Linked DNA regions of Styela clava. Each later gene encodes a partner of the first gene's protein in a complex. Links are inferred from orthologs where the notes say so. Each region holds a gene or a part of one and is shown in the gene's direction. Other genes may lie near its edges. The genes, in order: syntaxin-5-like, syntaxin-18-like, vesicle-associated membrane protein 7-like and BET1-like protein.

Evidence for each region.
Region 2: syntaxin-5-like (region 1) and syntaxin-18-like share a complex: the UniProt entries of both Homo sapiens proteins name them as parts of the SNARE complex. The link is inferred for Styela clava from reciprocal best matches to the Homo sapiens genes STX5 and STX18.
Region 3: syntaxin-5-like (region 1) and vesicle-associated membrane protein 7-like share a complex: the UniProt entries of both Homo sapiens proteins name them as parts of the SNARE complex. The link is inferred for Styela clava from reciprocal best matches to the Homo sapiens genes STX5 and VAMP7.
Region 4: syntaxin-5-like (region 1) and BET1-like protein share a complex: the UniProt entries of both Homo sapiens proteins name them as parts of the SNARE complex. The link is inferred for Styela clava from reciprocal best matches to the Homo sapiens genes STX5 and BET1L.

The regions. Positions count from the first base shown.
Region 1 is NC_135253.1:7,448,637-7,456,489, reverse strand, and holds the start of syntaxin-5-like, read left to right. Parts: upstream 1-4,848; 5' UTR 4,849-4,999; coding exon 5,000-5,048; intron 5,049-5,848; coding exon 5,849-6,051; intron 6,052-6,302; coding exon 6,303-6,376; intron 6,377-6,795; coding exon 6,796-6,851; intron 6,852-7,107; coding exon 7,108-7,292; intron 7,293-7,385; coding exon 7,386-7,530; intron 7,531-7,661; coding exon 7,662-7,777; intron 7,778-7,853. Other genes in the region: GTP cyclohydrolase 1 feedback regulatory protein-like, read left to right, coding at 526-561, 1,095-1,189, 1,576-1,708. UniProt on the Homo sapiens protein: Mediates endoplasmic reticulum to Golgi transport.
Region 2 is NC_135253.1:4,204,029-4,210,560, forward strand, and holds syntaxin-18-like, read left to right. Parts: upstream 1-4,022; 5' UTR 4,023-4,266; coding exon 4,267-5,217; 3' UTR 5,218-6,017; downstream 6,018-6,532. UniProt on the Homo sapiens protein: Syntaxin that may be involved in targeting and fusion of Golgi-derived retrograde transport vesicles with the ER.
Region 3 is NC_135250.1:21,528,625-21,535,891, forward strand, and holds the start of vesicle-associated membrane protein 7-like, read left to right. Parts: upstream 1-4,241; 5' UTR 4,242-4,345; coding exon 4,346-5,044; 3' UTR 5,045-7,267. UniProt on the Homo sapiens protein: Involved in the targeting and/or fusion of transport vesicles to their target membrane during transport of proteins from the early endosome to the lysosome. Required for heterotypic fusion of late endosomes with lysosomes and homotypic lysosomal fusion.
Region 4 is NC_135255.1:10,596,602-10,604,119, forward strand, and holds the start of BET1-like protein, read left to right. Parts: upstream 1-4,501; 5' UTR 4,502-4,630; coding exon 4,631-4,655; intron 4,656-6,142; coding exon 6,143-6,234; intron 6,235-6,714; coding exon 6,715-6,771; intron 6,772-7,518. UniProt on the Homo sapiens protein: Vesicle SNARE required for targeting and fusion of retrograde transport vesicles with the Golgi complex. Required for the integrity of the Golgi complex.

The DNA.
Region 1 (7,853 bases):
GCGTCATTTCAGCATTTCGCTGATTAGTAGTACCGGTACCTACCGGTGTTCTATTCTGGATATTATTACTGTATATGGTGCGGTACTGTACAGGATTTGACATATTCATATATTAGTCTTCTATAATACGGTACTGTAATAGAATAGGCATGCCTTTTTGCTCCAGGCTGCCAGGTAATAAATCGTGGTTGGCCTGAGTCGGTGGGTCCTTAGACAGTCTGACAAGTCACTGTACAGCTGTAAGAAGTGTGGTCTACTTGCTGACTTGTTAGCTTCCTCGCTTTTGTACATAATAACCCCGTAACATGAGAATCTTTTACCAAAGACTCTAGTCATCTAAATCAGTAAATGAAATGACTCAGACCCCTAGACTCGCATTCAACTAACCACCAACCACTCTGCCAGTGAGACCGAGCTCAGTGAATCGTCTCAGGCTCTGATGGCCCATGACCTAATGAGTCTGCACTTTTAACTAATAAAAACATTCCCTCATTTGCAGACTTGTAGTAGACTGCAGTGAAATAAATGCCGTATTTGTTAGTGAGCACACTGGTTCGATTAGTAAGTATCATCTATTAACCATAATGTTTTTGATCACTTATCGTATTGTATAAAATCTCCTGATACTGAAATATGAAATAAAATCCAGGAAAAAAACAGTTTCAGTAGAAATTTTGAAAATATGATTTCTTTGCCCAATTTAGAATATGATTTAGTCTTAATCAAAATGAAAAATAAATCCCACAATATTAGTTTAAGACGCATATAAACAACATTAACTTTTCCACAAAAATTTGAAAAAATAAAAATTTATTTCAATTATGAACTAGGCATTAGAAGCCAGTCAGGCATCTAAGGGTATAGTGGGTTCAATTGCACTTAAACAATATTTTGTGTTTGGGAAATACAGTTTTATGGTCTGTTGTGTGATTATGCAAACCTAAATCTGAGAAATTGTTGTTGAATTCTTTTATTTCTTGTCTTGATTAATGACATGGTTAAGCAAAATATATTTAATTTCTTGTGTTAGATATGAATAATAGTTAACTTTAGTCTAATTAAAATCAATAAATCTCACTTCTTGGTTGTTTTAGGAAATTGGACCGACAATTGTTGGAGATGAACAGTCTGATCCAGACTTGATGACGAAGATAGGTGCTGTGTTGGGGCAACAGAAAGGATGTCCTTTGTGAGCTAATCTTGTTATGGATGTTTTCGATTTGTACCTTTTTTATTCAATGAGAAACTGTCTGTCAGAATGGATAGTTATTTGTTCCATGCTAGTTTTATATTCTTTGAATTTTTCTGATACTGCAGTAAAAAAAATTTTGATATGTATGTCACAGTGATGTTGTTTGCTAACTTGCAAAATTGGATCTGAGTTAATACAGAAGATAATGCTACTGGTAATCCCACTGGATAGAATAGTAGAATAATATACTATTTTGTGCCATCGCATAGGTTACCAACAACTTGCATTCTGTTTAGTTGCAACCTGTTTGTCTTGATTCTTTATGCCATGTTACATGCAACATACCACATTTTTTAATGTTTTATTGTTTTGAATTGTTTTAGCAAAGAATACACAGTCTCTGACCCTCCTCGAATTGTATTGAACAAATTGGAAAAGTTGGGATATTCTGTAATAAATACAAGCGGCATTGGACAAACTATTGTTTGGACATTACATAAGCCAATTTCTGAGTGATAAATTTCAATGTTTGGGGGATAGATAACTTGATCATGCTGTCTAATTTGATTAGCTGTGAGTGGCTGTATTTCGGTTTACTTACAATCAATTAATTTATGCCATCAACTGTTACATATGTATGCATTTCTCTCGGAGATATCAGTAAATGGCTTTGATTAAAATTGTTTTATTTGTCAAAAATATTTGGATTGTGTGGTACTGATTCAATCATTCATTTTTAAATGTGCAATTGTAATATATGATGTTATGTGCAACAAAAAAAGTGGTAAAATGAGTAGTCTTATGAATTGGTGTGAAAGGTGTGGCTTTTGCATATATATATGGGCTTGTGTCATGGTGGTGTGAACAGAATTTCGTAAATGAACAATACGTGATTGTGAAGGTATGTACGATCGAAAACAGTGGTCATGGCGCAGAAAGCTTTGTCTGAAGTACCGATTACAAGTGGATAAACTAATTATTCACTGAGGTATTTCGTATATATATAAACCCATTGATGGCGGTCGGAAATGAGAATAATAATCAAAAACTAAGATTTTGTGGTGAGAAATGAATTACAATACAATTTTATCTCGATTTTTCGTCTGCAACACCGAACACTAATGGAAAAATAAAAACACAGACAACGGGGCAAATGGGAAAAACCTCCAGAAAGGTTTATAGCGAACGCTGTAACCGGCCGGCATTTATGCCCATTCACCCACACAAGTGGAAAAAACATCGCGACAATCATACTGAAAAAAATAAATGCCATAAATAAACTCGAGAAAATAAAATTCATGGGCGAAGCTTACTTGTGAAGGTATAAATAATTTTGATGAGCGAAAGTGGTGAAGAGTTAAAAAACAAGTAGAAGTTATGTGACGGGACCTGTGCCAAAATACGCGAATCATAACATTAAGTGATTAGCTGCTATTTTTCTTGGCAATCCTTGTAATCCTGAGCATTTGCCAATGATGGTCGGTCGTAAAATTAACTTTGCGAGTAGCGAATTCATTCAGTTATCATTATAAAATTATACAAGGTGGTAATTTATATTGGGTACATTTAATGGACTAACCCTAAAATTAGCGCGAGGCATAGGTTAGTTGCGCTAACTGTTGACACGAACTGATTACCAGACGAGAGATGCGATGAAATCGATATTGGCACTGACGAATTACCAGGTTTAGATCTGACGCGATTTTGGTCCTAGTGGCCACAAAGAACTTTACAGTTAACCAAATGACGTCCAACCAACAAATATATACGAGGAGCTACATATAAACCAAGAACCAGCAAAAACTTATGCTAGCCTTTTACATATTTTTTTACATTATTGTGAGAACTTATGGTCAATACACAAAGCACTAGAAGTTCATCACCTTTGCATCATTGCTGACTTTGCTTGTTAAGGTATCGATGCTCGCATCCCGTAGTCACTGCCTCCGTTTCTCTGTCTTACATTTAATAAACATGTTGGCACTGGATATGATAATTTCATTTTAAGTGATTGTCCGATGTCCCCAAAATGTTTGTTGTGCAGATGCGATTCAAAAATTAATATATTCAATGTTTCAATGCAAATCTCTCGTCAGCAATACACATGCGTGGGTTCGCAGGTAAGTATGAGTTTATTTCGACTCCATAATCAGCATAATAGACGATAATGTAATTGATAAAAACTTATTATTATTAACTTATTATAGAATTGGGAAAGCAAACAAAACCTCTAGTAAGGTTTGGAACGTACAAATTTTAAAGAAAAGGTATTGATAAAGGAAATAGCACGTGTTCGCTCACCCAAAAGTATTAGTGAATTACTCAGTAAAAAAGAAAAATATACAAACGAAATAACTAAATGAAAATCATGAAAATTTTTTTTTTGCCAAACTATAATAATAATTTTATGAGGCTTGCCAACATGAGTTATACATTGTGGATAAAAAAAAATTCCTCAAAAGATATCGTCAAGCTGATTATATTTGGAGTCACCTAATGCCAAATTGCCCAATCAGAATTTTAAGTTGGATGCATGAAGGGATGGGCTAAGCCTCACCAAATTGAAAGCCAAACTAACGTCCAAATCACTTTAAATACTATTAATCAATAAAAGTACCGGTAATTATAATTAAAATTAATTTTAAGGCAGTATGATATCGAGATAGGAAAATCGGTTACAGCAATATATAGGTTATTAAAGGTTCAAGTGAGATTTTTTAAGGTCATGGATTATAGGCAAGGAAATTTAATTGAGGTTGTTGATCACTGGGGTCAGTTCAAGTTCATCAAAGATGATCCATCAGTCTGCAATATTGTTAATGTATAGTGGTATACACATTTTATGTTGAATTAGCGACCTTTTAAATCGATCATCACGACGTTATGAAAAACGAAAAATATATCTGCGAGTACAATATTCAATGATTGCAAATAAGGAAACAATAGAAAACTACCCTACATTTTTGAGAAGATATTGTTGATTTGAATAAATATTGACCAATATTAATAATTTATCATTAGACTACTAGTTGAAAGACCTGAGAAAGAGGAGATTGTAGTTGGGACACAAGAGATTGTTCACAAGCCATGCAAAAACATTTGATGTCGATCAAACCACACTAAGCATTCACATGTTGGCCATTATTTTAACTATACAGCAAATCAGAAAATCTCTGTGTACATACAGGGCACAGTATATAACACTACAGGAAATTAAAAGGTAGGGAGAATCCAAATATAGCTCGACTGATCACCTAATTACAATAATGGATAATAGCATAGGTATTATTAACCACCGAGTCAAAGATAACAGGCAAAATCATACCCAATGAGGACTGGGAAACAGAAGAGAAGCCGCGGTTCGCAATATGAGCAAGCCGTCTTATCGACTTTTCCCCTTCACGGAATAAATAGCCTATGTAAATCCTATCAACCACCAACTAGGCATTTCTATTTTTATCAGGCAGTTGTTCCGGGAGTTAATCCATGTTCGAACAATTGAATATATATATACCTATTATATATAATAGGTAGTAAGCAATTTACAGTATTTACCTTTTCATTCATTTTAATGAATTGGGTTTTCTGTCATCTTCCTTCTTGTTTCCGTGCACTACAGACAGTGACGTTAATCAACTTGCGTGGAAATCGGCCATGCATGAAAATGAGAAAAGACACCTCGTCAGCTTTTATACAATAGGTTGCTTCTGTGTTACGGTACAGAACTTTTTATCGTAGGATTTACGCAAATTTGTCTTCGAGTCTTAGAAACTGTATCCCATGTTTTATTGGAAGTCATATGACTAGATGATTACCAGGCGAAGAATCGGATCTCATGAAAAAAGCTCACCTTCAGGTTAGTGCTGTAGTGAAATCTGTAAATGGCTTCAGTTAATTCACTACCGGTACCGGTACCGTACCGTACCGTACCGTAATTCGCGTTTATTTGAAACTACCTTCAGACCTTTCTGAACTATACCTTTATACACTCTGAATGCCACGGTCTGGGTACCACTCAGATAAATAATACCGTATTCTTTCAAATATCTGCTTGAACTTCTGTGATTACTGGATTACCGGTACTGGATTAAATTATATTTCTGTATTTATTAATTTAATTAAAAATTAATAAAGCTGAAATGTTTAATTGATTAGCATATGGCAGTTAAGATAATCAAAAAGTTTTATCGAAGCTCATTCTTCAGTTTTTTCATTAATAGCGCCAAACACTTTGTCACTTATTGACAAAGCTGCTGAAAACTAGAGCATTTGTTGTTTGGTTATTCTGTTATTACAGTATTATCAGAGCTGTATTAAACTTGTTGCTGATTTTTTATTGTGGAACTGCTATGTAGCTAAGAAACAAGACACTATTCTACTGCCTGATTGCAATACAGAGAGATGGATTGACAAATCTGTGTAAAGAACACTATTTCGAAAAGACTATACACTTGTATTGCAGTATTGATGTGTTCTTAATTTTTGTACCAGCTGTTTGTATGATGATATCCCAACTGACTGAAACTTTGATCATGGCGGTTGCATTGACCATATGACCAATATAGAAGAACTTTATTTGACGAATCAGCTTGCGTTGCAAATTCTGACATATCGAAAAGTACTGTACAGTTGTACAGAAATCCATTATATTCACAGGTGGTTGGTCTTTTTCACAACTTCCTTCACTCTCATCAACGAGAATACTTTTCAACGGAACTGAAAGTAACGAGGTTTCTTCTGGTCAATTGGAAGAAGACAATTCAAGCCAATCAGCAGATTTAATGACAAGCATGAATTCCGCGTGCCGCGACCGGACTGTAGAATTTCAATCTGTTGTGAAGTCATTAAAATCGAGACAGGTATTCAAGAACCAAATATTAAATTTACTTGAAAATCATGAGGAATTTCCATATCAAATTAATATTTGCCTAATATAGAATGTCATGTGATGGTATAAGACATTGACTCGTTATTTCGCAGTTTGGCAGAGGATCATATTGCCATACATTCAAATTTTGTTAAATGTGACAGAGCTGTGTTGTACCTTGACCCATATTTGCTCTATGTGTACATATTTTTATGAATTCTATGTACGTTATTGTATTTTCAGTCTAATGGTGGGGTTCCACATAAAGCACAAAACAATGCTCTGAAAAATAGAAGTGAATTTTCTACATTTGCCAAGTAAGCATAATATGTACTTAACGCACTTTTCAATATATATGATTTTTGATTTCGAAATACTCTGAATATTTCTAGTATACTGCAATAAAGTAATTTCAGACAACTTTTTCCTTGGAGAAAAAATTAAATTACATTATATCAGAAGTGTCAATGCTGTTCTTTACTTTGCAGCATTCAATGCTGTTCTATACTTTGCAGTACTTCACTAACTATTTGTTTTTCAGTTTAATGCTTCTCTATTTGTTTTATTGTGGAATTAGATTTGTTGAATTGTTATATATATATAATATATACCCCATTTAAGTTATAAATTAACTGTTGATGAAAGCAATGAATATGCATAGAGCACAGTTATTTAATTGATTTAATAATTGTCGTCAAGTAAGTGGCAGAAATACATATTGCATATTTTTATTCAGGCGAATTGGCAGAGATATAAGTAAGACATATGAAAAATTAGAAAAACTAACTTTGTGTAAGTATGAAATTTATACTGATTGTGTCTGGTAAATCAAAAGTCATATTATGTTATTATGTTATGCATATCTTTTGATTTGTTTTTATTTTAGTTGACTACTTCATCATAATCACTATTGCCGAATTTTTTATTTTACTCAAATTCTTATTTTTTGAAAAATAGTAATTGGATTTTTGTTTATATGATATATTTTCATATAGTCGTTATGAGACTTGATAAAAAATATTTCTCATCGGTTACTTCTTTTTTATAGTATGTAAAAAACGTTCACTGTTCGATGATCGACCTGTTGAAATCCAGGAGTTGACATATATTATTAAACAAGACATCACTTCGTTGAAGAAACAAATTGCTCAACTGGAGCAGGTAGTTTCTGCAAGGTCTAGTGGCCATAAAGATATTCAAAAACATTCGTCATCTATTGTTCGCACATTAAGGGTGAGTTTTATGTCAATTTTATTGAAATTTTTCAACGTTATTGTTGTAGCTATATGAAACAAGATAGCTGAAATTAAATATTATTCATTTCAGTCCAAACTTGCTTCAATGTCTGATAATTTCAAATCTGTCCTTGAAGTTCGACGTGAAAATATGAAGCAACAGAAATTGCGTAAAGATCAGTTCAGTACTACTAATTTATCATCAAGTATGCCGCCATCTGCTATGCAGGGGAATCGTAAGTTGACAATTACAAAATTTGTTTTGATGGATATATATGGCACTTTTAGGTATAGAAACAGACCTACCTGTTTATTTCAACAGCACTCTATATTTCGTATTGTTATTACCATGACTGTGTTGTTTTAGGAGGTTCAGTTTTAATAATGGATGAACAAAGGAATTCTTCTGGAGATGTTTCAATATCAATGGATGGTTCATCGCCATCAACTTCACAAGATACAATGCAACTGCTTGATCAACAAGTATGTTAAAATATGAATTGATATATGTACGTTTCACATTAATTAAGCTGTTTCTTTTGGTTTTCCAATCTTTCAA
Region 2 (6,532 bases), about 3.2 Mb from region 1:
ATCTACTCGAAATAATAATTAATTCTAAACAAAAGTGTAGGGTAGTGCTGTTTCCAAATATGTAACCCTTGAATATCCTACTCGCAGATTTATTTTCTGTTTTTCAGGTCGTTCTGTGATGATCAATACAATGGCTAGTTTATTGAATATAAATAGTGTCTACAACAACAAAATTTGCAAGCTGATGTCTCATCCACGACAAACTTGAATTGACATCTATTACGCCACAATAATTAAATGAAGAAATGATCCTGTGAAATAACAATACTAATTCCTTTATTCCTAATTCCTTTATCCTTGCAGAAGTCAATATCTAAGAATGAAAAAAAAAAAACCTTATAACCTTAGCAACCAACATATTCCTATACCCTGTCTTTCTACCTTAATTAATTATAATTACTCATACTTATAAAGTTACTGATAGATTTGAATACTTATTGCAATCTGGACTATAATTTGGCAATAATAGGCTCTAGTTTGGGCAATGAAGTGATCTAGCCCAGGGGTTCTCAAACTTTTGGTGTTGCGGAGCCCTTGGAAAGGTTGACTATTATTCACGGAGCCCCAAAATAAATGTTAAAGTTGTTACTTTCAGATTAATATTCCTGAGCAAGTTAAAAGTACTTTACTTAATTTAAATGCTGAACCTTAGGGTTAATACAAGTCATACATAAATCTAAATTTCAAACATAAATTATATATACACTAAAGCTGTAAATTTGACACTTGACAAACATGTTAATAAATAAGGGGTCGAAACTTTTCCCTTTTGACATTTTTGGAAGACTTAAAAGGCCGCTAATAACGTGCGCAATTGCATTTTGTTACAATCGCCGATTTTTTTCGTCAGCATGGCGTGTCTTTGAATCTTTTAACATCTTTACGCCGGTGTTTATTCTCCCTAAATCAAAAATTTCCCTCGGCATATATATACATGTATAGTTACACAATGACGACGTTATTCGCTTTTTTGTTCTCGTGGGGAATTATGAGTTCAATGTGAAAAACATGTTACCATATTATAGTCATCGTTACGAAATGCTAAAAATAATAATTAATAAAGAGATAAATCCGCAACTCAAATTTCTTGATTGAAAAGCGGCATTCTAAAATAATAAGACTAAAACTTAAAATGGAAGATCACAGGTTTGGTTTCAGCAGACTCACCTCAGATTGAAAACGTATTTATAGACATTGTAAATCACAAAAATTGGTGTTATGTTAGGTTTTCATCGTAGTAACTGCGAAATCGAAACAGAGTCAATGGTGCGCGCGATGTACCTTTTCCCCCATTATGAAACTACCGACGGAGCCGCACGCAATCAATTGTGCGCGCTCCGCGATGTACCTTTTTTTTCATTCTGAAACTACCGACGGAGCCGAATGCAATAAAATAAATTTCAATTGTTCGTTAAATGCTCGCATCGGTCATGGATTAAATATTTTACGCAATAGAAATCTCGTTATCCGTTTTTTTTAATCGCGAAGAATGTTGCGCGGAAATTTCCGATTCCAATTTTGAACCACCACCCTCTTAATAATCCTGGCTGCGCTCCTGCTTATAAATAATGTCATTTTTTAATTCCGCCTCTTTGCCATATTTCGAGGCTATTTTGTTGTCAGATTTTATCAAAGCTGTTATTGCTTCTTATTAGAACAGTTACAAAACTAGTCAGTATTTTGAAAAGTAATCCGATAGCTCGCGGAGCCCCTGGGTTTCTCTCGCGGAGCCCTGGGGCTCCGTACGGAGCACTTTGAGAACCTATGGTCTAGCCCAGTGGTTCCCAAACTTTTCTGACCATCGCCCCCCTAAAGTAGTTTATACAACTTCATCGCCCCCCAGCACTACAAAAAAAATGTAAAGTCAGAAACGAATATATTACAGACCAAATAAGAAGACAAATCATAGTTTATAGTGTTATTTAATGAGATGAATGAGCTCGGTGTTCTTCAGCAAATTTTTTATCATATCTGAAATTACCCAGTTTACTGATGGAAAGGCGATTTCGTTGTTTTGATGACAATAGTAGCACGGCTCAAAAACCCTTTTTCACCATATAATAGGTCGGAAATGAAAGAATCCAGGGTTCTACCTCCTCAAATACCACCGTGTACTCTTGCCTTATAGCATTTCACCCCCCGTAAATTCACCCCATTTCACATTAAATTAATGAAAGCAAAGTTAATTTTCCCAAAGTTATAATAATGATTTTCGTACATCTCATTCATTCCTACAGCCTGATGACCTGCACCAAAACACTTCGGTAAAATTCATCCCCGATTCCTTATCCTACCACGGCCTACAGCCCTATCACCAGTCCATAGAATTAATCAGCTATTTGTTTTTGGATTCATGGACTCGGATGTGAAAAAAAACTGTGACCGACTATCGACTACGGCCCAGGGGTCGGCAAATTTTATGTCGCTCGCGAACTCAACTCAGTCGTCTTATCAAAAAATTATTACAATGACATTTAATGTGACACTGTCATGTTGCTGCATCACGCTTGATAGCTTTACGACGCCAAGATTGGAACATTTTCCAAATGGGCATCACTAATCCCAGTTCTTCGCTTGTTCTTTGTAATGTCTCCATTTTCGAAAAAAATTGTTCGCACAAATATGTACTCCCAAACACTCTTAAAATAAGCACCGAGAATTTTAAAATGGTAAAGTATATAGGAAGAATTTTCCGCGGGCAAAGGTCGGGGATAGGTCTATTCAGTGAATCGTCCCGGTACAGATTTTTTTACTCCGGCCGTATTTTGCCGACCACTGGGATACGCCAACTACCGTACCTTACTGCGGAGACGAGTCCAGCAATCCTTTCGAGCGTGATAATCGACCACGTGATTCAAGCCTGCGAATGCACACAGAGTACAGAATTAAGTGCACGATGCGAAGAGCAAAAACGGATTTCGCGAAATCGCCCCCCTATCGCCCCCTTCGACTTTTTCGTCCCCCTCTGTATCGTTTTCGCCCACCGGGGGGCGATATCGCCCACTTTGGGAATCACTGGTCTAGCCCACCTCTTCATGTACCCAATTCTGGCAACTTTGGTTGGGCATTTTGGCATTTGACTCCATCTATAATCAGCTTGACAATATATTTTTTTATAAAAGTTTATCTTTACTGTTCACTCCCATTTATAAAATTGATCAATTTGGCAGTGGCAATCATGATAAATTTATTAATATGGTGTGGCAAGTAATTTTTATTTATTTATTTTTTATTAACTACCAGTATGTAATTTTTCATGTTCCCTTTACTTAATAACTTCTATATGGTTGTGTGTGAGCGTGTGTGAAATGTTTCAAATATTTTAGGTGAGTGAACACGTACCACATCTTCTTGGCAAAACCTTCCATCTTATATACATTCTGTACGTTTTAAACCTTATCTAAGGTTTTGTTCGCTCTCCTGATTTCATAATCAGTTTTTATTTATTTATTTTTACCATTCATTTTATTGTTTTGCTGATTATGGAGTCGAAATAAACTCATACTTATAAATTTTGGGGGAATGTACCGGTAATGCGTTGCCTAGATATAGAAAAAATATTTGTATGGTACATCAGAGCAAGTTAAGCTTAGCATCCTAAATATTAGAAAATTTTAGGGGTACCGGTACATGAGCGATCTATAAATTGTCTAACAGGAAGTTTTGCAAAACCTGCTTGAAATGGTACAGACTTTTTGAGACCACAAACTGACAAGACTGTTTGAGTTCTGGTTTTGTTCACTTTAGGAGTTGTTAATAAATACACAATGATATTTGGGAATTTATAGATTATTTTCAAACGCCACCTCGTAATCGGAAAGATATTAGGGGTGAAAAGTCTGTAAACCCATCAAAGCATAAATGTTGAATTGAAGAAAAATCAGATCTTTGAATCATTCATTCTAGCCTCAAATAGCTGTAGTCTATTCTACTACTACTATAGTGTTCAAGAAGTCACCTAGTGGCTTCAGCATTTTTCAATCTGAATGGTCCAATGAAGTTCATATCTTCAAGACGATCTGTTCTAGTTTGTCAATCTGATTATTTTTAAGTCATTTATTTGTGAAAAAGCATGTCAAAATAGGACTTTTTGTCACATTTTTGACGTTGTTTGTTTTGGCATAGTTTTCAGGATCGATCACATCTGGACTAGATAGGAAATATCAGCATATGTTTTATAGAAACCTCTGACATTTATTTAACTAATATGTATATCTTTAACCAAATTTTATAGAGTTTTAGTTGGACAATTAAACTTGGATCATAATGCATATAAACTTCATGGATCGTACGAATGATTTTAAGAAAGCAATTCGTGATATTAGAAAAGAAAATAGTATTCTAGATAATACCGTACTGAAGAAACCATCTCTGGATTTACATGCTTATAAAAGGAGAAAATCTGATTTTAATAAGAAGGCCAATGACATTGTCCAGTCTATATCAAAATTGCGGGATTTTTTACTGCAACACCGCATTGCGTATATAAATTCTCATCAAGCAGTAGGCCTTGCGTCACAGCCAATGAGTGATCATGAAAGAGACAAAATTGATGAGGAAGCTCAGAATATTATTAAGAAATGTAATGATGCCATTACAGTGATGCAGCAAAACGTCGAACAAGACAATATATCTGATCAACAATGCACCCATAGGCAACTTGTACTTGCTTCAATACAAAATCACCTAAAGTCTGTATGTAAAATCTACAGTGAACAAAGAGCAATCAGAGTTAAATTAGTGGTTGACAAAAAACGCATTTCACGTTTGCATAATCCGGAAACACATAAGAAAGCTTTGACACAGGATCCAGATCATTCAAACAATACAGAACGTCCAGCTATAAAATTTGAAAGCAAATTCAATTATGAAGAGAGTGATGAAGATGATTTTTCTGAGACTGAAGCTGCAGCATTGGAACAAGAAAATGTTCTGTTATTCAATGACATGAATAGCATGGTTGATGAAGTGCGTGCAATCGAGGGAAAGGTTGTTGAAATTACTCGGTTACAGGAAATTTTTAGTGAACAAGTTTTGCAACAGGAAGGAGACATTGAAATAATATCAGAAAAAGTTATTGAAAGTACTGAAAATATCAAAGGTGGTAATGAGGAACTGCGGGAGGCGATAAAAAACAATGCTGGGTTCAGAGTTTGGATATTGATATTTTTATTGATGTGCTCATTCTCTCTTTTATTTCTTGAGTGGTATAGCTGATAAGGTGCGATAAATATAACTATTACTGTTCTATATTGAAAGGGGTGGTGATAAAAGTATCATTTGGCACTAAAAGGGAATCAAATACTGGAAGAAGCTGAATACAAATGTTGGTATAGGTGTAATTTTTTTAAAGCTAAATCTGATATTGAATGAAAGCGGGGCTGTGAAATCGGAAGAAATATAAACCTGACTCTGAATGCCAATACATTCAACTCCGACTCCCAACTCTGGGCTAATGAAAATTCTGCTTTGTCTCTAGGTTGAGGTGAATTTTGATGTCAGCTGGGAATCCCAAGAAAATCAAACTTTGTTGTTTGCAAGCATTCTTAAGTTATCTAGCTGCTGTGAATGCTTAGTCAACCTGAAGCTTTTTGAGTTTTGTTAGAAATTTTAACTTTGATTGTCACCATTTAATTCTGAATTTTGATTCTGTGGGTGTGCAGTTTGAAAAATGGGTATCTCAGTCGGACTCCAACAATATTGATGGACATTTAATTCCATGTTCCAGTTGTAACAATTTCATTATAAAATCATTTTATGATCTGCAATTTACACTTGTCTTTATTCTCAGTATCTGATTTCAAGGCCACTATGTTTTTCTTAAAATTTGCTGCAATATTTACAGCTTTTGTCTATGGCTTTAATATATATAGATTATAACTTTGCTAGGTAGTGTGAATGCAACTGCATTATTATTAACCACAAGAGAATTGAAAGTATATGGTGTTATTTATCCACATTGTAAAAGTTTTTTAGAGAACACTTGCGAATAAAACTGCCCATAAGAAGATAATGAATCAGCATCTGATAGTGCCTGATTTAGGTTATATTTTTAAGGTGAAGCACTTTCAAGCAATCATTAAAATGTGTTATATGTATAAGTATAAAATCAAATTTAGTGATTTTATGATTTAGCTTAGCAAAGCTGAATATACCTTAAATTGCTGCAATGCCTGGAGGTATAATGAAATTTTAAGGTTTGTAAATTTGAACCAACCACACAAATTGTGAATCAGCATGCTATGGATTATCGCACTCAATTGTGGGTATTGCTGCTGTCTAGTAAATTTATGAACTAGTTTCAGTTTCTTTACGCAAGTTGCCCGAGAGAACCAGAATACATAAAATATAGTAAGAGGCTCAAGAGTTTTACTACAAACATGCGGAAATGTGTACGAAGTTGAGTACCTCCGACATCTTTCAGATTGCGCTCATTATGATTATGAGGTGCTATCCCTGTCCATACACTAATAACACACAACAATTTTTTCCACAATTGGTTCTTTGTGCCGTAAGTGGTCTGATTTTTGAA
Region 3 (7,267 bases), on another chromosome or scaffold:
GGAGTCTCACAATGCTAGACAGGTTTTTCCACAACATTCACATCTGAAGAAAGAGAGGAGATTTATTAATTTTCGTTAAGAATGAATAAAGCAGTCTATATGATTTAGAATGGGAAAGCTAATAAATCCAATATCCCATGTCTATGTAAAATATGTTTTACTGAATTTGGTATATAAACCAACTAATAAAAGGGTTTAGTCAGAAAATTACAAGCATTCTTATACTTGAGAGATCAGACTATACAATATAGACCGGTATGAGTAAAATGTTAGGTGAACTTGTTAACCCTTTGATTCAATACGCAAATAAAAGTTATTGAGCAATAGTATGTTACAGAAATGAGTATATATCCTCACTGAATAAAAAATCTAACTGGAGGTGCATGAACTATTTGAAACCATAAGGGGTAAGTAAATATGCAATTTCGGCAAATGGACAACTACGTACCGTACTGAATTAATAACTTCGTAGTATTTGACAAAAGCTGGCTTTCCCACATGTACTAAACAGTGCGATGCCCGGGTGTGATATACAACAATAGTATTTACCTTACCTTTTTTCAATTTCTTTCTACCTCAACTTTACAAAATATCATTAAAATCGACAACAACTGTCAAAGCAGGCACGAACACCATTCGTGCTATTCCTTGAAAGCAGCACACATCCGCTCGTTTTCGTCTCGTCAAGTATGTGCATTGGAGCGTGCTATCGGACACGATCTTCGGCCAAAAATGGCGGAGTGGCGCATCATGTTGTTTAATGTCATTGCTCCAACTATAATCAGCTTGGCACAGCTTGGTATGTTAGTCGTTGGCTTGGCAATATATTTTTCATAAAAGTTTATCTCTACTGTTCACTCCCATTTATAAAATCTATCAATTCGGCAGTGGCAAACGTTATAAATTTATTAATATGGTATGGCAAGTAATTTTTATTTTATTTTTGAACTACCCGTATGTAATTTATAACTTCTTAATTTATAACTTCTGGTTGTGTGTGTGGGTGCGTGTGTGAAATATTTTCATTATTTTAGGTGAGTGAACACGTACCACTTCTTCTTGGCAAAACCTGCCATCTTGTATACATTCTGTACGTTTTAAACCTTATCTAAGGTTTTGTTTGCTCTCCTGATTTCATAATCAGTTTTTATTTATTTTTTTTACCAATCATTTTATTGTTTTGCTGATTATTGAGACCCGAAATAAACTTATACTTATACATGTGAAAGTATTTCCCTCCGCCTCTTGGTGTAGGCTACTTCGACTGTATGTAAGTTTGCGAAAATGTAATTTTGTATGAAATAGCTTCCACAAGAATGAATCTGCGTAGAACCTTACCTTAGTATATACACACTAACCCTTTATGTTATAAATGCCCCGTATACCGGTATAAGCGTTAGCCATATTTCTCATATCAAATAATAGACTACCGGTACTGTAGCATACCGGTATAGCCTTTGGTCGTTCGAGGAGCATCGCATTGCGCACAGTAAGGTCGCATTAGGAATGTCCCGTTATCAACAATTAGGCCTCTTTATCAACAGCGCACTTCAGCCAGTCAGCATTATGGATATTGCGGGTCGCATTACTGCATTGCAGCAGCGCTTTACGCACGAAATCTATGATGACAAGTTGGACGGGACTTGTTGATACTGTGATAGTTTCAAGGTATAGCATTAAAAAGGGATAGTTTATGTGTCCTTGGTGTCTGGATCGGCAACAATGACACGACGCAACAAAACTGGAATCCAATTATAGAAAAAATCAAAAGAGTAGTGAATATATGGAGAGCTCGAACTATGAGCATGCAAGGGAAAATACTGATTACTAAAAGTCTATTATTATCTAAATTGTGGTATCTTGCGGCTGTAATAACAATTCCAAATGATATCATTAAAACAATTGAGACCCTAGTATGGGATTTTGTATGGAACAACAAACAACCCACGGTAGAGAGGAGAGTCTGCTGTGCAAGGAAAGTTGAAGGAGGTCTGAAGGCCATGGATCTGTGTAGTCAGATTAAAAGTCTACAAGTTAGATGGATTTGGAAATTATTAAAAAGTGATGAGGCTCCTTGGGCAAAGAGAGCGAAACAATTTATAAATAGATACCATCCTAAAATAACAGTGACAAATTTAGAAATACTACATCTCTCTTTGAAAATTTTAAGGAATAATAACATTCCTAAGTTTTATATAAATTCGGTCAACATATTCAAGGAACTTGATGTAAAAACGAAACAAATTACCACTAAACAACAAATATATGATCAATACATATGGTGGAATCCAGCCTTAACATGGTTGAATCAACCAGAATTTATAAATAATTGGATAAGAGGAAACATTTTAACATTTGGCCATCTGTTCCAATATGACTGTCTTGAAATAGCAATCAAAATTTGGGGCATAAACAAATGGAGTAGTATGCGTGAAAATAAAAAACTTGATTGTTATAGGAAAGTAGTAAAAGATTCTGTACAAATTTTAAAAGCCATACCATCAGGATGGGCTAATGTGTTGAATAGTCAAAGTAATGTTCAAACAGATTCCAGTTCAATATATTCATTTGAAAAACTTCCAACCACGAAATATATGTATAATCAAATTATAAGTAAAAAGATAATGGAAGTGACAAAACAAAAAGGTTTATCAATTAAGGAATATTATGGACTGGAATTTGATATTGATTGGAATAACATTTGGGTTCATGGAATATCTAAAATTGTACAAGTTTTATGTTGGAAAATAATTCATATGGCATTACCTACTGGAAATAGAACAAGGCATTGGACAGAATATGATGATGGTCACTGTGTGTTGTGCAATATTAATATCATTGAAGACTGTAAACATCTATTTTTTGAATGCTATTATGTTAAAATATTTTGGGATTGGTGCGAGTTGCATTTTAGTGAAAATAATATTGATACCATTATTGCACAAAATACATGTGACCTGTCAGTTATTATGATAGTTGCATGTGGAAAGGCAGCTATTTGGGAATTCAGGAATCAAATAATATTTGAAGATTTGGATAATTTCCAATCAGTTATGAGAATAATTTTTAAATGTAAAATTAGAGGGATGCTGAAAAATATGGCATCAAATATGAAAAATAGCTTTTTGGAGGATGGAAGAATTGAAAACTTGTTAGAAAAGTCGGTAATGTCATAGCTTTTGATAGTACATTTTTAAGATTGACTAGTATTGATAATATTGACTGTTTTTATAAATAAAAAAAAAAAAAAAAAAAAAAAGATATCGTGGCTGTTGTTCCCGAATTGTCATTCGATGGGCTTAGACGTTGATAACGCGCCTTTTAGTTTTATTGCTGAGAAAAGGCGTTTTATCATTCAGTCATTTCATGCAGATATAAGGTACCGGTATATTATATAATAATAGCCTCTGAATGAGTATAATGAATGTTTTTTTCTTGAAGAATATTTACTGTTAAGTCTGAAAGTGTTGTCTAACTTCTGAAATTGATAATAATTTAATGTCATTTGTGTTATTTAGTACAGTAATATGTGCTTTTTTATTGATTAGGCCCTCTACATTGAGTCGGTTATTTTATGGTGATCAATAACATACTAAATATCCATATAACAGTAACAGTATATTATGAAAAAATTTTACGCCGAGTCAAGTTGCATAGTTATAAGATGTAAAATGGTCGAATAAAAATTATCTCTGGCTATTTTCTCATCTTTCCATTTAGCTATATTGTCGCAACCAATTTTGTCAGTTTACTCATACAGTCATAGTGCACAAAAACGCGCAGCAGCCATAGTGACCTTCGATGGTCATACTGCAGTACTGGCCTGCACAAAACAATGTTTAAATTGCTTTGCAATTACTGAATATTGTTTTGTATTATTTTGTAATATTAACATTGTTTGTGGAAACAAAATCTTTTTCACTCCTTTTTAATTTATATTTTAAATTTTATACCACATGGCACATTGTGCTGTTTTCGCGCAACCTATTACTGATAACCTATTATTCAAAAATACCATCTCAATTTTATAGAAAAAAAAAAAAAAAAAAAAAAAAAAAAAAAGATACTGTGATAGAAGCAGCAGTGAGTCGAATTGACTTGGTACCTGGTACTGAAATTTGCTGGGACAATAAATAAAATATCCAATCACAGCAATAGAGCCTGGCACATTATTAATAAGTTTGTACCCGGTATACCGTACTTATGAAAAGTTTTTTTTTGTTTAATTAGGAGATTGAGTTATCGTATTCAGTCTTACATCAAACTATAATGCTAAATGAAAAATTTGAAACTTTACAGAATTATATTGGGCATGGTCTAGCTCACTAGTCTATCTAAAATAAGTATGGCTCTTTTATATGTTGTTGTCGCTCGTGAGACGACAATTCTTGCCAAATGCGCAAGTTGTGCTGGCAATTTTGACGAAGTCACGGACCAGATACTGAAAAAGATTCCAGACAAGGATACAAAAATGACATATTCGCAAGGAAATTATTTATTTCATTATGTAAGAGAAAATGGAATTGTATATTACGCCATAACAGAAGATGAATTTGAGCGCTCGAAGGCGTTCCAATTTCTGGGAGAAATAAAAAGAAAGTTTCAGAGAAACTATGGAGATCTTGCTTTGACAGCTTTACCATATGCGATGGATAATGAATTTTCGCGGGAACTGTGGTCTCAAATGCAAAAGTATTCCAAACCTGTCGTGGAATCCCCCGAGATTTCAAAAGTAAAACAAGTCAACGATCAGCTTGATGAATTAAAGGGTATAATGGTGAAAAATATTGATAGCATAACAGAACGCGGAGAAAATCTCAATCTACTTGTGGATAAAACAGAAGATCTTAGCCAATCATCTGTCACTTTCAAAAAACAAAGCACTAACCTAGCTAGGAAGCTATTTTGGAAAAATGTTAAAATAACAATCGTCCTGATTGTTGTTGCAATAATAGTCATATATTTTTTGGTTTCTGCGGGTTGTGGAGGACTAAGTTGGCCAAAGTGCGTGGGGAAATCTAATAATGGTTCAAGAATTGATTGAATTTATTATTTGATGATTCGTGTAGTGAGTTTGTCATATAGTTTGCCAAAGTTTGGTATTAGTGATTTGGGTTATTTTTTTTTCATGCATTTTGAAGTCAAATTTTTGTTTTTTGATAATGGTTCTAGTTTTGTGTTGTGCATTAAGCTGAAAATAGTGGTTATAAACTGAACCTATGAATTGGTGAATTCTCTAAGTTTGTTCAATACCTCTGCTAGAGCGGACTTTTTCATTTATAGTTTTTGAGTGATACAAAAGTGCCGTCAAACTATTAAAAGGCAGATTTGGAGTATGAGTTTTACTTAACAAATACGGTTATTCTTCAATGATTTTCACCAATGAGTCATTTCCTGACTTCGTTAATGTACAAGCATATATTGGGAAACACTTATCAATTTGGTTCTGTTAAATACTGGATATTCGTTAGTCGTACATGTTATTTTTTTTGATGAGTTTCATTCACTTGCCTTGAGTAGCTCTTATTGTATTATATTTTTTCATCAACCTGAATTGTCATTATGGTTTCATGTTGGACGAATAAATAAATCATGCTAGAAACTGTGGCTGATTAGGTATTCCCCATTTACCATACCTAGTCTAATATTTACTGTTAATTCATTGCATTGGTCTGTTCAATCTGTTTCAATGTATTTGAACAACCCTTGCACGCAACTATCTCCACAAAAATTGATATTGTGTTTCATGTGTAAAGTAAGCAGTGGTGCAACGATAATTAGACTCTTGGCACAATGCATGACAGAAAGTTTATTTTAAAAGTTCAGGAAATGATAATCCTTCATATTTTTGATAAGTTTGTTTTGTTGTATTTTAGGGTATGATAGTTTTTAGTTGTGTCCTTTTGTTATGTCTCATTTTCACTCCATTAGCTGTATATTTTTTCTGTCCAGTGATCATATGATAAATAAATATAACTTGACAACCCTTTTTAAATCGAATTTCCACGAATGGACATATTCTACTAACATGAATGACTATTCAAAACTGTGTAAAATTACCATATAAAGCCCCAATTTTGATGATTCTGGGATTTCGGAAATATATTCATTTGTGAATTTCATATACTCTGAATTGTTTGGACTCCTCTGAATTGCTCTCATGCGCTTGAAACATAGCATTGTTTATCTCACTTGACTGTTTTATAAATGAATATGTCTGCAGTTATGCCAGGGGGGGCCAACCTGTCTTTGACTGAGATTGACTTAATTTTTCACAATATCTTGCGATTGACTGATGGATAATAAAGTCACACACAAAAATGAACGAGTACTAAATTTAGAACTGAACCTCAATAAGGATGTTCCGCTTCAAATCCCTGAACACCAGACACTAGAGCTGCTTGTGGATATAGCCATCCTAATTATCCCCTGCCTAGACTGGAACCCTGTTCACCCCCAGATTCTTAAAAAAGCCCGTGCGGGATTGCTCTGGTATGGTGGGCTCAGTTTTGACAGATACCACACAAGAACCTGCTGCTTAATAATGTTCATGTTTAAATGAGTGATGCTTGGATATTGGTTAAACACATATTCCTTGCAGGCATGTTGATAAGCACGGTCGACAACTCAAGACGTGGCAATCGTCCTGTTGGTCACCCCTGAGATATGTCATAGAAGTTTTTTTTGAAAGCTGTGCGACTGTGCTAAAATTCTTCTTTTTAAATCCATTAAGTTAAATTATTAATACAAGTGTTGTAGCATTTTGTAATACTCTTTATTTGTGCCTTAGTTATCTTATAATGGGTTTTAGTAGATATGGTATAAATGTAAATGATTTGAACCAAAATTCATACTAATGCTTATTTGAATGAGACAGGTAATCTAAATGCTCAAAAAAGGTTTACTGAGAGGCATCAGACTCTGATATAAATTAGATTTTATTTTATTGAAGTTGTTGAAAATTTGAAATTCTCAAATCGCAAGTTCAATCTTTTTTCGTTAAGTGTTCACTGCAAATTAATCATCTTTCTTTAGTGTCATGAACAATCAGTGTTGACTTCAATTCGTTAAAAATTCATGATATACAAGGAATTTTTTTTTTGTGGAAATTCTCTGCTGTAAATTAAAACTAAATTCTTCAAGGCTGCTTATTTAATACAGGGATGTATAAATTCCAAAATCTGTTGCCCATTTTCAATATCTCAAATCGAGGGGTATTTTTTATCAGTACTATAATATAGAAATAATGAAGTTACATTGTGTACTA
Region 4 (7,518 bases), on another chromosome or scaffold:
TATTCTTCTTCTCTTTCGTCATAATGAAATCGCTTTTCTCTTCGAATACTGGACCAATTGCTTTGAAATTTTTAGTGGTTAAAGACTGATGTTTTTGCCAGAAGGCTATTACTTTTACTTATTTCAAAAATTTCTGTGGACTTCAAGAGATTTTTTTTATGTGTCAGAATAAAAAATAGCGACACTTTGTGACGTGTCCATGTATTTGAGCACAGGTCTCTTGTTATTGTATGCTTTCCGTTGCTTTGGAGTATTTGGTTGTATTAAGATTGATAATTGATAAATAGAATAAAATTGCATAACTTGGAGTGAATATTGAAAGAGAACTTGGACGTCAGACCATATTGGAAGATATTCTGAACTTGGATAATTATTTCATAGACGGCTGGTACGCTACAGTTGAAAGCTAAAGGCAATCTAACGAGACGGATTTGGCCCTCAGCCGCCAACTTGCTAATATTTGATGTAGTTTAACAGCTTAAATTCTCCGAACGATTTTTAAAATTCACTGTGTCAGTTCTTATGACACACTTTTTCTCACTGCAAGCTTCCGAGAGGGCCACTATCAAAAAAAAAAAATTTCCAGGTCACTTTTCGAAGCTGGAAGCTACTAGTAGTCATAGTCAAGTTTATTTTTTCCACACAGTAAAAAAAGTTAACATGCAAAATTAAGACGAATAAATAATATTGAATACACATTTCACTGGGGAGGGAAAGCTGCGAGGAACCAAAGCTGGTTATCAAGCAGCGACACCCAAGGTTCAAATATCTAAATGAACATTAGCCAAGTTTTAGCAACTTGATTGTTGGAGAACTGTTATCATTCATGATCGATGCTTGGTAGTTGAACCATCTAATGCGATAGGTAAATAAATAACCAACATCGCGTAATACAAATCACATGTAATATTAATCAGTGTAATTCTGAACGACATAGTTAAAAACAAAGGGCTGAATTACTTTGGCCGTTGTTGAGTTTTGTAGTACAAAGCTAACAAATAATTTGAAGATATTTTCACAAAATGTATGAACGTTTCCCCGACCTTTGACCTCCGAAAAATTCTTCCTATACTTTACCATTGCAAAATTGTCGGGGCTTATTTTAGGAGTGGTTTCGCGAGTTGGCGCCTGTAAAATGGGGTATGTGTTTAAAACCATCATTATGATTCAGTGCATACAACAATCTGTTTTTCAAAAGTACCGGTAAACAATTTTAGCCTAGTCTATCACAGCTAATTCTACACTGATTTTTGATTACTGCAATCAAATTAAAACTCATAGGAAGACAGAGTGATCATTGAATTATCTAATTTAAATTTCCGTAACACAACTGAAAACTAACGAATAGAGTTCAAAAACTCGAAAACGAGGTAATGTTTACGACCACGCCTGAAAATCTGTCTGAAAAAATCTGAGTGAAAGAAGTGTCTGAGCGGATGCGAGAAGGTAGCATTGTTACGTCACTTTTTGCATCTTGCTGATTGGCCAATTTCACGAAGTGAACAAGGAAGGCGGTGCTCGGGGAAAGGTCCATTACATTGTCGTAGTATACAAAATTTAGTTTCCAGTTGGCCAGACCATAGGCGTAGCCAGGGGGGAGGGGGGGCAGAGGGGCCATGGCCCCCCCCAAAATTTTCAAGAATTCCATTCCTAATCCACCAGTTTTGTGGCATCTTGTCTCGTCACGCTTGCCGATTGTCATTGTTACGTCACAAAGACTTGACCGTTCGCTCTTATGAGCAGTATGGGAAAGACCGTTTCGCAAGCTTTCGGTTTGTTACTCGGTCTTGATTTGTTCTCGCCGGATTTTTATTCGAAACGGTTGGATTTTGATGACCAATTTACTTCGATGGCTAAATTTAAACAGGCGAAATTCGATAGTTTTTTTCAGCGAAATAAAGACTCGCTTTCCTCAAATACATCAATAAGCGCTTCTCAGGCTGTTGATGCACCGGTTACGTCAGTTACGTCTATCACATCTATTCCCGAAGATGAACTAATAATCAACGAAGGGAAAACAAACGATCTTGGATTTATTCTTAAGAAACATACACAGCTTACCGATGCGGAGAGAAACTGGCTTCTAACTTCGGATGGTCCGAAAAACGGGACGATTCTGGATACTGTTAGACAAAGTCGTCGTAAATTTCTCATAAAATGGCTTGACGATAACAGATTTTGTAGTTGGTTAGTTTACACCCAACTCTCTGATGGGGGTGGTTTGTGTAAGATATGCATAGTCATGCAAGCACGTTTGAAGCATGGAATTCTCAGGGACACTGCCTTTGTTACAAGACCATGCATTGACTACAAAAAATTTATGGAAAAGGCTGTAGCACACCGAGACACAAATTACCACCGAGAATCAAATATAGCTGCGAAAAATATTTTGTCAAAAGCATGGAAACTGATCAAAATGTGCGTGCAAACATGGAGGCCCAATATGCTACGCAAACAAAAGAAAACAGACGAATAATGACTTCCATTGTCAAGACTGTCATGTTCTGTGCTTCGGGTAACATACCCTTGCGCGGACATTCCGGGGGTATTGGAAATTTTGTGAACCTTCTTCTATTTCGTATCGAGGCAGGGGATGAAGATTTGAAAAGGCATTTCGCTAGAATGGCCGGAAACGCTAAGTATACAAGCTCGATGATACAAAATGAAATTCTCAAGGTAGCAAGCAACATGATAGTGCAAGATATCGTTATGGAGGCTAATAAATCGTTTGTGTCCGTAATAGCCGACGAATCATGTGATATTTCTGGGAAAGAACAACTAAGCATCGTTTTTAGGTATGTGAAAGGTGGTGAAGTGTGCGAGCGCTTCACAGGATTAGTGGAAATGGATTCTGTTTCTGCCGAATCAATTTCCTCAAATATTTTGACCCACCTCTCTGGTATAGGAGTGGATTTGCAAAAACTTGTGGGGCAAGGCTATGATGGTGCAACGACAATGGCAGGTCACGTCAGCGGTGTGCAAAAACGCATTCGTGATAAATACCCGCGCGCAATATTTGTGCACTGCGCTTCTCATTGTTTGAATTTGATCATAAATGATCAAAGTAAAGTTGCAATCATCAGAAGCACCTGTGATATCCATTCGTGAGACTATTCGTTTTTTCAGGGAGAGCCCTAAAAGGCGCGCGGGTTTAGGAATTAACATCCCTTTGTTCTGCCCCGCCAGATGGTCTGAGAAGTACAAGAGCATCCGAATCTTCAAATGCAACTTCAAACGAGTACTTGAGGCTCTTGATTCTTTGGCGAGAGATGCTAACTGTGAGACGCGGACGAAGGCTTTTTCTCTGAAATCTGCTCTAGAAAAGTCGTCGGTTATCTACGCCGTATGTTTGATTGGTCGATATTCGGCACTAATGGAGCCACTAGCGCGCGCACTTCAGGCGGTCGGAGTCAGTGTGCCGTCAGTAAAGAACCTCACATCCTCTCTTCAGAGCGTTATCGCTGAAGAACGCAATGACTCTGAAATCGCATTGAATATTTACAAAGAAGCTTGTGAAATAGCTGGCTTGAAAGAGTTGACAATACCCAGAGTAGTCGAAGTACAAGTTTATCGCGATAATGTCTGTGCTGATTCAGCATCCCAGTATTTTAAACGTTCCGTATATCTCCCATACGTCGACGGCTTGAGCTGCTCTATTCGGGAACGCTTCATTGACAACCCTTCATTTTTTTCATTGCTATCAATTCTTCCACCGAACAAACCAGTTCACGTGGATGAGGTAGAGCGTCTGTATTTATTGGATAACCTCCAGAATGGAGTGAGACTGTGGAGAACTTCTTTAAGTTCCGACGTTAACGACGAATGTTTGGAGGGGCTTCTTCTGAGCGCTCGAGATTATCCAAGCGTGTACACCGCAATACAGATTGTTATGACGCTACCAGCAACCACCGTTGAGGCTGAGCGGTTTTTCTCATGCATGAAACGGGTAAACACATGGCTGCGCTCATCAATGACGTCCAAGTGCCTTTCTGATTTGTGTGTGCTTCAATGTCACCGTGAAATGGTCACCGAGGAGAAAATTAATCGAGTTGTGTCGAGCATAGTTGGCGGGAAGCGAAGGATGGACTTTTAATTGGGGCGATGTATTTTACTTATTCAAATTGCGTTGTTAATATTTGTTGTTTCAAATAAAAAATTGTTTATTAATGGATTTCGTATTCACAAAAATCCAGCTGAGTAATTGAATCAGTTTGCTTGTTGACCAACTGTTGTTGTTTTGCGCTTGAAGAACGGGTGTTTTAAACCCAATATAATTTCTAAAATTTTCGAATTTGGCCCCCCCCCCAAAATTTTGGGCTGGCTACGCCACTGGGCCAGACCCTCTTCTTTGGGCAAGACGCTATTCGAGATTGTTTTAATCGAATCCTATTTTTATCTAGTAAAAGTATGGTCATGTATGTTACGTTAAACCTTGGGCTCTCTCTTTACTTTACCATTGCAAAAATCATGTTCCCAGTGGCTCACAGTCTCACATGCGCGGTTATGGGTCACTGATATTTGAACAAAACAAGAATGCCATCTAGCGAATAGTGAAGAGGATACACGTCGTCAATCGTTTGTTGCTTCGTTTTGTTGTTTGGAGTTTCTTGAAGTGCGTGCATCCAGCAAGATGTCTCACTGGAATCGAAATTCAGGTAAATCCACTAGTTTGGTTATGGGCTATTTCCATTTTGAATTCATGAAGGACACATGTCGGTATAGGCAATGATAAATATATTCGGTACCGTATGTACAGATGTACGGTAAATCCTAGCGCATTACCGTACACAGTACCGGTATTGTACCGGTACCGGTAGCCCTTGGTATTTGAGTTGTTGCTCTTAGCTTTGCTCTGGGATCATTCTCCTTAATTTCGCAGTGAGTTATCGCGACCTTCTGAATTTGCTTTGAGCAGAGCTCCTTAAAAAATATCTTAAATACAGTAGATTTCATTCTACAGTTCTAAAGCATGTTAAAAATGGGCATGGGTAACTTAATTACAGCTTTCTCGATAATCAAACTCCATGCATCTGAAACATTAAACCAGCCTATACCGGGTCTAGTATAGTTTAGTACCACAAGTAATTCCAGTGGGCGTAGCATAACGAATTTTGCATATGTTATTCCTAACCCCCACCAGACTATGTCATCAAAAAATTACGTCACTACGGCATCACAATCATGTCATAGAGCTTTCCAAAGTTTAGTTAGGATTGCAGGATTGCCTGAAATGGAATCTGCGACGCCGATAACGAACTTATAAATGCCGGCGTTCTCTCTTGTATCGTGATCGTTGCGACGAGAAAAAGAGAGAGATAGCTTGCTCAGTTTTGGGTGATTGTCTGCGCGTTTTGAACGACTATCCACATACTTTGTTCGGCCTTATTACTCCACTGTGACATCGCAATGATGTGATTTTTTGACATAGTCAGGTGGAATTAGGAATGACATATGCAAAAAATATTGAGCCAGGCCAACTAGTGCATTTGGTACTAAACTATACCAGACCCACCCATATCTGACCAGTGATGCCAACGCATGGAAGGCTGTGGTTCACACATACCAACATACAAGCTATTTCCGGAATAACCTGAATAGTGTATATGCGATGTACATATTTTCATTTTTGTAAGCACATAACACATGCACATCTTTCGTTATTAATTTGAGGTTGAATTGTAATAAACTAGACTAGATTTTGGTGAAGTTGGCTGTCAAATTAACACAATAGTTATGTGTTTTATCATCCACAGGAATTAGAAGCTTCCTCATGTTCGCACATGAAAGGAAAAATGCAGATGAATATAATGTTTCGTTTGAATTTCAAAGGCAGTTAAATCCTAACTCCTGAAATATTCATGGCAGCGTTTTATTACAAATCATATTTACTAATATTAAGTGAACACGTTATTTTGGAAACAGCGAATTTCAGTTGAATCTGTTTTTTCTTCAAAACCTAAGTCTGTTCTTAAATTAAAGAATGTATCGATAAATCAATCTCTCTTATATGTTGACTAGTTTTTATGCTCTTGTATATTTTCGGGCCATTAATATAATTTAATATTTGTATGCTGTATATCAGTTGAACCAAAATACAACAGTTATTAGTTTTTCAATTCAAGTTTCTATCATTTATTTACAGGTGGGACAACGTCCGGAACAGAACAAATTATGGAGTCAGAAAATGATCGCCTTGCTGATCAACTCGCTTCTAAAGTGTCCAGATTAAAAATGGTATAAGTAATAAAATACAATGCTGTCAATGCATAACTCAGATTATTAATGATATAACCAAATTACTGAAGAAAATTATTCTACATATAATTAAACAGATCCAACACTTGCCTGCTATCAATAAATAATCTTGTGTTAACAAAGATAGGTGCAATGATTGACACCACAGTGTTCGTGGTTAAAACTTAGAACTTAACTATGTTTCTGGGATATGTGATTGATTTTAAAGAATTTATTAATTATTGGATTAAAATTATTTTGTCCTTCCTAATTTAATTATCTTCTGTATCAATTGCTATTGAGCTCTATGATAAATATTTTTTAAATATATATACAACTTAGTTTTTAACTAGCTGTGTGACAATTCCAATTTATTTTATGAGTTCTATATTTTTTAGTTACAATTTTGTGTTATTTTTTTTATAATTTCAGTCATTTATTTGACAGCACTTTTTTCTTTATACAACATCTCCATTCTAGATAAGCTTAGATGTGAGAGATGATGTCGATGATCAGAATAAGTATTTGGATGGTGTGGTAAGTGTTTCTCATAAAAGTTTCCTCAATTAATTGTTTTTATATTTAAATTTTGTAATATAAATATGATCAAACTAGTGTATGCTTGGTGCTATAATTAGAAACCGTTTATCAAAGCAATGACTATATTCATATTTTGTCATCCTATTCAATTATATCGAAGCTGAACTGACTTGCGAGGTTATACTCTTCAAACAATAACATTTTGGATTATGTTCACTGTTTAAATATATATTTTTGTTTTATTTTAACATTTTCCCATACCTGTGAATTAGCACTTGTTTATATTTTTCTCCACAAGTGAAAACTACGGTAACCTATTCTTGATGGAAATATTTAGTCTATTGTCATCTAATATTTTTTATCAACTCTTTACATGTTATTGGATCATTATTTCACTTTAACAAGGGAAAGTTGAAGTTTATAAAAATTATTCCAAGCAGGGATGTCCAAAATTAATCCAATCTTTGAATTAATAGAAATTAATTGTATTCAATATTGGGAATAGAAATTTATGCTTTTGGATGGAATAACACCAAATAGTTTCATTTGATTAATAATTATCATTTTGAAATGCAAATTAAGTCCCACACAAGTATGATCAAAAACGCTTTTATTTAATTTTTTCAAACAGTTAAAAATATAGGATAGGATTTACATATTTCACTGCTTCCTCCCTGCATTAAATAAATCACTGCTTGCTTCAAATTTTCAGCATTCCCAAATTCAAATTACACTTGACTTCAA